Linked DNA regions of Canis lupus familiaris. The protein of the gene in region 1 interacts with the protein of each later gene in a pairwise test. Links are inferred from orthologs where the notes say so. Each region holds a gene or a part of one and is shown in the gene's direction. Other genes may lie near its edges.

Evidence for each region.
Region 2: the proteins of ABL1 (region 1) and MSH5 interact in binary tests that used the Homo sapiens proteins (3 or more experiments, as listed by UniProt). The link is inferred for Canis lupus familiaris from reciprocal best matches to the Homo sapiens genes ABL1 and MSH5.

Annotation. Positions count from the first base shown.
Region 1 is NC_049230.1:53,210,553-53,214,201, reverse strand, and holds part of ABL1 (tyrosine-protein kinase ABL1), read left to right. Parts: intron 1-409; coding exon 410-2,127; 3' UTR 2,128-3,649. UniProt on the Homo sapiens protein: Non-receptor tyrosine-protein kinase that plays a role in many key processes linked to cell growth and survival such as cytoskeleton remodeling in response to extracellular stimuli, cell motility and adhesion, receptor endocytosis, autophagy, DNA damage response and apoptosis.
Region 2 is NC_049233.1:1,365,357-1,369,005, forward strand, and holds part of MSH5 (mutS protein homolog 5), read left to right. Parts: intron 1-2,287; coding exon 2,288-2,450; intron 2,451-2,530; coding exon 2,531-2,593; intron 2,594-3,649.

The DNA of each region.
Region 1 (3,649 bases):
GGCTCCATGCACCAGGAGCCCGACGTGGGATTCGATCCCAGGTCTCCAGGATCGCGCCCTGGGCCAAAGGCAGGCGCCAAACCGCTGCGCCACCCAGGGATCCCCCTTTCCTAGAAGTATTAACAGTCCGTGAGAAATTATGTACTGATAGCTGGGACAAACGCTGTATGCTCACTGCATGACGTTCACACAATGCTATGGGTAGGTGGTGGTCTCCGGTTCATAGATGAGAGAGCTGAGGACACTCACAGGCCACAGTTGGGAGTGGCAGAGCTGGTGCTTACAGGTAGGCCTGCCAGAGCCCTGACCCTGGGCTGCTCCTCTGTAGAGGACAGGGGCCAGCCCCAGGTTCCCCCCACAAAGGAGCCTTTGGTCTGGAGATGTTAAAAGTCTTCCCATTGTGTTTCAGATCCCCTGGATCACGAGCCTCCTGTGTCTCCACTGCTCCCTCGAAAAGAACGGGGTCCCCAAGACAGCAGCCTAAATGAAGATGAGCGCCTTCTCCCCAAAGACAAAAAGACCAACTTGTTCAGTGCCTTGATCAAAAAGAAGAAGAAAACGGCCCCAACACCCCCAAAACGCAGCAGCTCCTTCCGGGAGATGGACGGCCAGCCCGAGCGCAAGGCAGCCGTTGAGGAGGAGGGCCGAGAAACCAGCAATGGGGTGCCAGCCCTCACCACCCTGGACGCAGCCGAGCCAGCCAAGTCCCCAAAGCCCAGCAGCGGGGCGGGTGTCCCGAATGGAGCCTTCCGGGAGTCGGGGGGACCAGGCTTCCGGTCTCCCCACCTGTGGAAAAAGTCCAGTACACTGACCAGTAGCCGCCTGACCGCCAATGAGGAGGAGAGTGGCGGCAGCTCCAGCAAGCGCTTCCTGAGGTCCTGCTCGGCCTCATGTGTGCCCCACGGGGCCAAGGACACAGAGTGGAGGTCTGTCACGCTGCCTCGGGATCTGCAGTCCACAGGGAGGCAGTTCGACTCGTCCACATTTGGAGGGCACAAGAGCGAGAAGCCAGCTCTGCCTCGGAAACGGGCGAGTGAGAATAGGTCTGACCAGGTGACCAGAGGCACAGTGACCCCCCCACCCCGGCTGGTGAAAAAGACTGAGGACGCAGCAGATGAGGTCTTTCGAGACATGGGGGAGTCCAGTCCAGGCTCCAGCCCTCCCAGTCTGACTCCAAAACTCCTCCGCAAGCAGGTGTCGGGGGCTCCTTCCTCCAGCCTTCCCCACAAAGACGAGGCCGGGAAGTCCAGTGCCTTGGGGACCCCTACCACAGCTGAGCTGGGGACCCCTGCCAGCAGAGGAGGGCCAGGGATGTCCGGAGGGGCCAGCAAGGCCCCCGCAGAGGAGCCCAGAGCCAGGAGGCACAAGCCCTCCTCCGAGTCCCCAGGGAGAGACAAGGGGAAACTGTCCAAGCTCAAACCTGTCCCACCGCCCCCACTACCAGCTTCCATTGGGAAAGCCGGGAAGCCTTCTCAGAGCCTGAGCCAGGAAGCAGCTGGGGAGGCCAGCACTGGTGGGAAAGCCAAAGCCGCAGCAGTGGTTGTGGATGCTGTGAACAGTGACACCGTCAAGCCCGGTCTGCTGGGAGAAGGCGTCAAAAAGCCCGTGCTCCCATCCATGCCAAAGCCGCAGTCGTCCGGCAAGCCGGCGGGGACCCCAGCCAGCCCGGCTTCCGCCCCTTCCACGCTGTCATCCGCATCCTCTGCCCTGGCTGTGGACCAGCCAGCCTCCACTGCCTTCATCCCTCTCATATCAACCCGTGTGTCTCTTCGGAAAACCCGCCAGCCTCCTGAGCGGATCGCCAGTGGCACCATCACCAAGGGTGTGGTCCTGGATGGCACGGAGGCTCTGTGCCTCGCCATCTCTAAGAACTCCGAGCAGATGGCCAGCCACAGCGCTGTACTTGAAGCCGGCAAGAATCTCTACACATTCTGTGTGAGCTACGTGGATTCTATCCAGCAAATGAGGAACAAATTCGCCTTCCGTGAGGCCATCAACAAACTGGAGAATAATCTCCGGGAACTTCAGATCTGCCCGGCGACAGCAGGGAGTGGCCCGGCGGCCACTCAGGACTTCAGCAAACTCCTCAGCTCCGTGAAGGAGATCAGTGACATCGTGCAGAGGTAGCAGAAGCCAGGCATCAGGCCAGCTGGAGCCGCCTACAGTGTGTGAGGCTGCCCCATGCCTGCCACAGTGGCTGACACAGACCAGAGAGTTGGGACGTTGGCCGGGGAGCTCCATGTGAAAGGAGCTGAGAGGGTCACTGTGGAGCACAGCCCTACTACCTAACATTTTGCGCCAGCTGTTTTTCTGCACTTTTCCTGTCCCCAGCCCAGGCTCCCTGAACCACCTCTGTCCTGAGTTCTATCTGTGGGGTTCCTGCTCTGTGGACTCCAGTTGGCCCGCCAGCCTCTTCCCCATGCCGTGCTCCAGAACTGAGCTCTTCAGGCCAGGTGGGAAAGCGGATGAGCATTTCCTTTTCTCTCTTGTTTCCAGAGGCCTTCTTCTGGCCATGCCATCTCCTCCACTTCCCCCCAAGAGCGAGTGCCCTGCACAGGAGCCTTGTCATCAAGGCCTAGGAACTATCCCTTCCACTTACCGCATGGAGGCAGCCTGCACTCCTCTTCTGGTGCCTCCTGCACTGAAGACATGTTTCCAGAACTATATCCTGGGAAATGCTGTCACTCTGCCTTCCATTGCTGCCGGGGGCTGGTGCCCTCACACTTCCTCATATGAAGGACAGCTCTTGATTTGGGGGTTAAAACAGGGTGCTAAAACCAACCAGCCTTTGGGTCCTAGGACAGGTGGGGGAGCTGAAGAGGCCTTTGGGGTGGGAGGTTGTCCTTGTTATCTGTTCTTTCAGCTCCTTGCTGTCTTGTGACATGCACTGCTCATCCTGGATAGAAAGCTTGAGTCTTAAGGGTAGGAGGGGTTGCAGTCAAAGAACAGGGGAGTTGGAGGGGGGGTGCTCCCTGGGTGAACAGCTGGTGGCCTAGGGCTGGGCCTAGGGCAGGTCTGCCACGGGCCCAGGTCACCTTCCTTTCAGATTTCCAGGTACTCAGAAAAGCCACTTGGTCTTGATTTCTGACCGACCTCCTCCTCCTCCCTTGCACTCCTCTGAGACAGAGTAGATTGATGCAAAACTCTTTCCTGTGTGACAAGCCAGTCCTTAGTTTTCTGGAGTTCTTGAAGCATTTCATGGCTCCGCCCTCAGCCCAGCCACCCTCGGTACAGTAGGACCTGCCATCTGCCACCAGAGCACGGGAGGATGAGGACTGTGGATCCAAAGCCTCAGCCACTGTTGGCCGTGCACTAAGGGGCAGACGTCCTATTAAATGACCGTGAGCAGCATGGAGTCCCCTGTTTCTGTTGGGGTTATCAGGGATGAAGAAGACCATAATCAAGTGAAGCTCCAGAAAGTGTCTCAAAGAGCAGGCATTGGTCTCTCCCCAGGCGGCCCCGGACCATCTTGACCTTGACCTAGAGCAGCTACTGAAGAGCAGACAGGCACCTTCCTGGGCCTCATGCCAAGCCTGGGAGCAGCCCTTGGAGAAACCAAGACAACCACCTTCCACCCCCACACCTTCTCATGCCATGACCGCACACAGGCCCCGTTTTTAATGCTCCTTGCCTAAACTTGTATTTTGTT
Region 2 (3,649 bases), on another chromosome or scaffold:
TTGGGCCATTTTCTACCATGGAAATACACCATGCCTGTGTTTATGCAGTTCCTTCTATGAAAGATTTTTCCCTTGTTCTTCACTTGTCAGAATCTGTCCTCCTCTTCAAGGTGGCAAGCCCTCTGTCACCTGTTCGGGGAAACTTTCACAGGCACCTGGAAGCAGACTGACCTGCACCTTCCTGCGTGCTTAGTGCCTGTTTATGTTTCCTGGCTGCACTGTTCCATTAGGTTGGAGTCAGCGGTCAGTGAACCTGCTCACTCATATCTGTGAGCTCCATACAGTGGTCATGTCTGTTAATGTCGGTGTCTAGCACATGGCCTTGGATGTAGTAGCACCCAGCGAGTGAGCACGGTACACAGATGCAAGCACATTGGTCCCATTGTCTCTACAAGCTCAGAGCTGAAGGCTTTGCTAGCCCACAGATGCACAATTCTTTCTTCACCTCATGTGCCCTGCACTTTGTGTCTTTTGGCAGTTAATTTAGGATAATGTCTGAGGTTGTCTCCAGGTAATTGGGATGAGTTAATTACCCTCGCATTCTACAGGTGCAGATCTCTCATCTCAGCCAGTGATGAGAGCAAAAGAATTCTTAGAGAAGAACAGAGTTAAATGCAGAAAGGAATGCCAATCCCCCAGGTAGGATCCAGTAGGGCATGGACTCATAACCTGAATTATGAACTAGGGGTCCAATTGGCCTACAGCAGGACGGGGCACCAGGAAGGTGACTGGATGTCACAGTGTGCTCTGAAAAGCACTGCCCTAGTAGTCTGGAGACCTGAGTTGGAGACCCAGCTATACTTCTTACTAGCACAGTAACTTTGGACAAGCTGCTTATTCTCTAAGGGCTTCATTTTCTCGGCTGTAAAATTAGGAGATTTAGCTTGATTACGATATCTGGCACTAGCAGTACATGAGTCAGAAATATCTCAGGATTTTACAAGATAGATGGCTTGGTGAAGGTTGTGCTTTCCAGAATGGGGACAGGTATTCACAGTCTGGCCTACATTGCTGCAGGTGGAGCTGTCTGTGGCTGAGGAGCAGAGGTGCCTAAAACCCACCCTTGAATCCCACCCAGCCCTCCGCTTCACTCCCTGCGGTGTTCTAACCCAGGGTAACTGGCCTTAGGCTATAGTGTGAGATACATATCCTCAGGCCCCAGTGTCTCCTCAGGTTGCTTTATATAAAATAGCATGGCTAAATGTCCTGCTCTAATGCAGAAAAGAATTCATTGTCTCACAGGTCCTTGCAGAGTCACACTCTTCATAGCCATAGAGAGACAAGGACACTCAGACAAACCCAGATGAGAGATTTATTACCGTATACTAATTTAATTTAGTAGAAAATACCTCAGACACACAATAGTAGAAGTAATGATGATGATGATGATGATATAAACCTCTATGTTTGCACCTGCATATTTAAGAATATAACAATGTTACTAAAGGGGTGCCCTGCTGCTGGCTCAGTTGATAGAGCACGTGACTCTTGATCTTGGGGTTGTGAGTTCAAGCCCCACGATGGGCATAGAGCTTACTTAAAAAGGTTGGGGAGGGGGTCGCTGGGTGGCTCAATTGGTTGTCTGACTTTGACTCAGGTCATGATCTCAGGTCCTGGGATGGAGCCCTGCATCAGGCTCTTCACTTTGCAGGAAGGCTGTTTTTCCCCCTACCACTCCCCTTGTTCATGTGCGCACTCTCTCAGATAAATCAATAAATAAAAGTTTTAAAGAGTCTTAAAAAAAAAAGACAATGTTATTGACACCTCTTAAGTGTCCCTTCCCAACCCTTTCTTCTCTGCAGAAGTGACCATTATCATGAATTGAGGACTTATCATTCCCCATGGAATGGTTATATACTTTTACAGAACAGGAAAAGATGTCTGTACTGTCACACCCAGAGACACTTACAGCCAAATGCAGATAAACTCATGCTGACTCACCCTGTCTTACTCAGCCGCAGAGAGAGCTAGAATGTTGGCACACAAATACCTCAATATGCTGCTCTCCGTCTAAATATTGACAAGCTCTGTCGCATATCCACATGGAGTGACACATGGTCACATCCATCAAAACCACGATAAACAGAGTCATGCTCACATGCAGAGATTTTTAGTGAATATGTGTAAACATACCCATGTGGATAGGACACTGTACTTGCCAGTACAGATACATTTCACCCCAATCCCCAGGGACTTCCAAACACACATTTTTCACAAATTGAAATCAAGACAATGATGAGAACAGATGTAACTTCTGGTCCCTCCCTACTTCATCCCTCACTTCCAGGCTGTGGTTCACACGTCCAACTCAGGATCTGGAAGAGCTAAATTCTCGGCTGGATGTCATTCAGTTTTTCCTCCTACCTCAGAATCTGGACATGGCTCAAATGCTGCATCGGCTTCTGGGTCATATCAAGAATGTGCCTGTGAGCCCAGGCCAGGGCAGGGAGGTAGGGAAGGAGCACTGGGATTCTTGGGGGCATTAGAATGGAGGAGAGAAGACAGCGGCCATCCCCTTGTCTGACTGTAGCTGATTCTGAAACGCATGAAGCTGTCCCACACCAAGACCAGTGATTGGCAGGTTCTGTACAAGGTAAGGCTCCCCTTCAAAACCCAGAGTTCCAAGTTAAGCCCCTCAGCAGGCGATCCAGGCCCTTTGCACTTTACTCACCAGGTCCGATTTTATCTCAACACTTGAACAACAACAACTTTGTATCATAGAAATTATAAAAAATATTTAGAATAATATAACAAACCCCTACATGCCCACCATGCAGCCTGAACACTTTGGCTCATACCAATCTTGTTTCATGTACATCTTCTCCCTCTTTCCCCTCTCTGGATTATTTTGAAGCAATTCCAGCCATCATATCATTTCACCCATAACTATTTCAGTATAATTTCTAAAAGAAAATTACTTTTTTCTTTTAAAGATTTTATTTATTAATTCATGAGAGACAGACACACACACAGAGGCAGAGACACAGGCAGATAGAGAAGCAGGCTCCATGCAAGGAGCCTGATGCGAGATGTGATCCCGGTAATCCGGGATCAGGCCCTGAGCTGAAGGCAGGTGCTCAACTGCTGAGCCACCCAGGTGTCCCAAGAAAATTACTTTTGGGGCAGCCTGGTGGCGCAGTGTTTTAGCGCCACCTTCGGCCCAGGGCCTGATCCTGGGGCCAGGGATCCGGTCCCATGTTGGGCTCCCTGCATGGAGCCTGCTTCTCCCTCTGCCTGTCTCTGCCTATCTGTGTGTGTGTGTGTCTCGTGAATAAATAAATGAAATCTTAAAAAAAAAAAAAAAAGAAAGAAAATTACTTTTTTTTTGAAAATTACTTTTAAAAAAGAACAATACCATGATCTTACTAACAGCACAGCTCTTGAATATCATCAATTATCTGATGTTCACATTTCTAATCCTCTTAAATGTCATCATTTTTTAAAAATTACTTTTTGTTTAATTAGAGTGCAAATGTGTTCAACATATGGTGATGGGATGATGTCTCTTGAAGCCTCCTCTGTGGGTTCCTTTTCATTTCACTGTTCTCTCTCCATCTCTACCTGCATCTTTAGCTCTCTTTCTTCCCTTGCAAGTTATGTGGTGAAGAAGCTGGATTGTTTCTCCAGTAGAGTTTTCCTTAACCTGGAT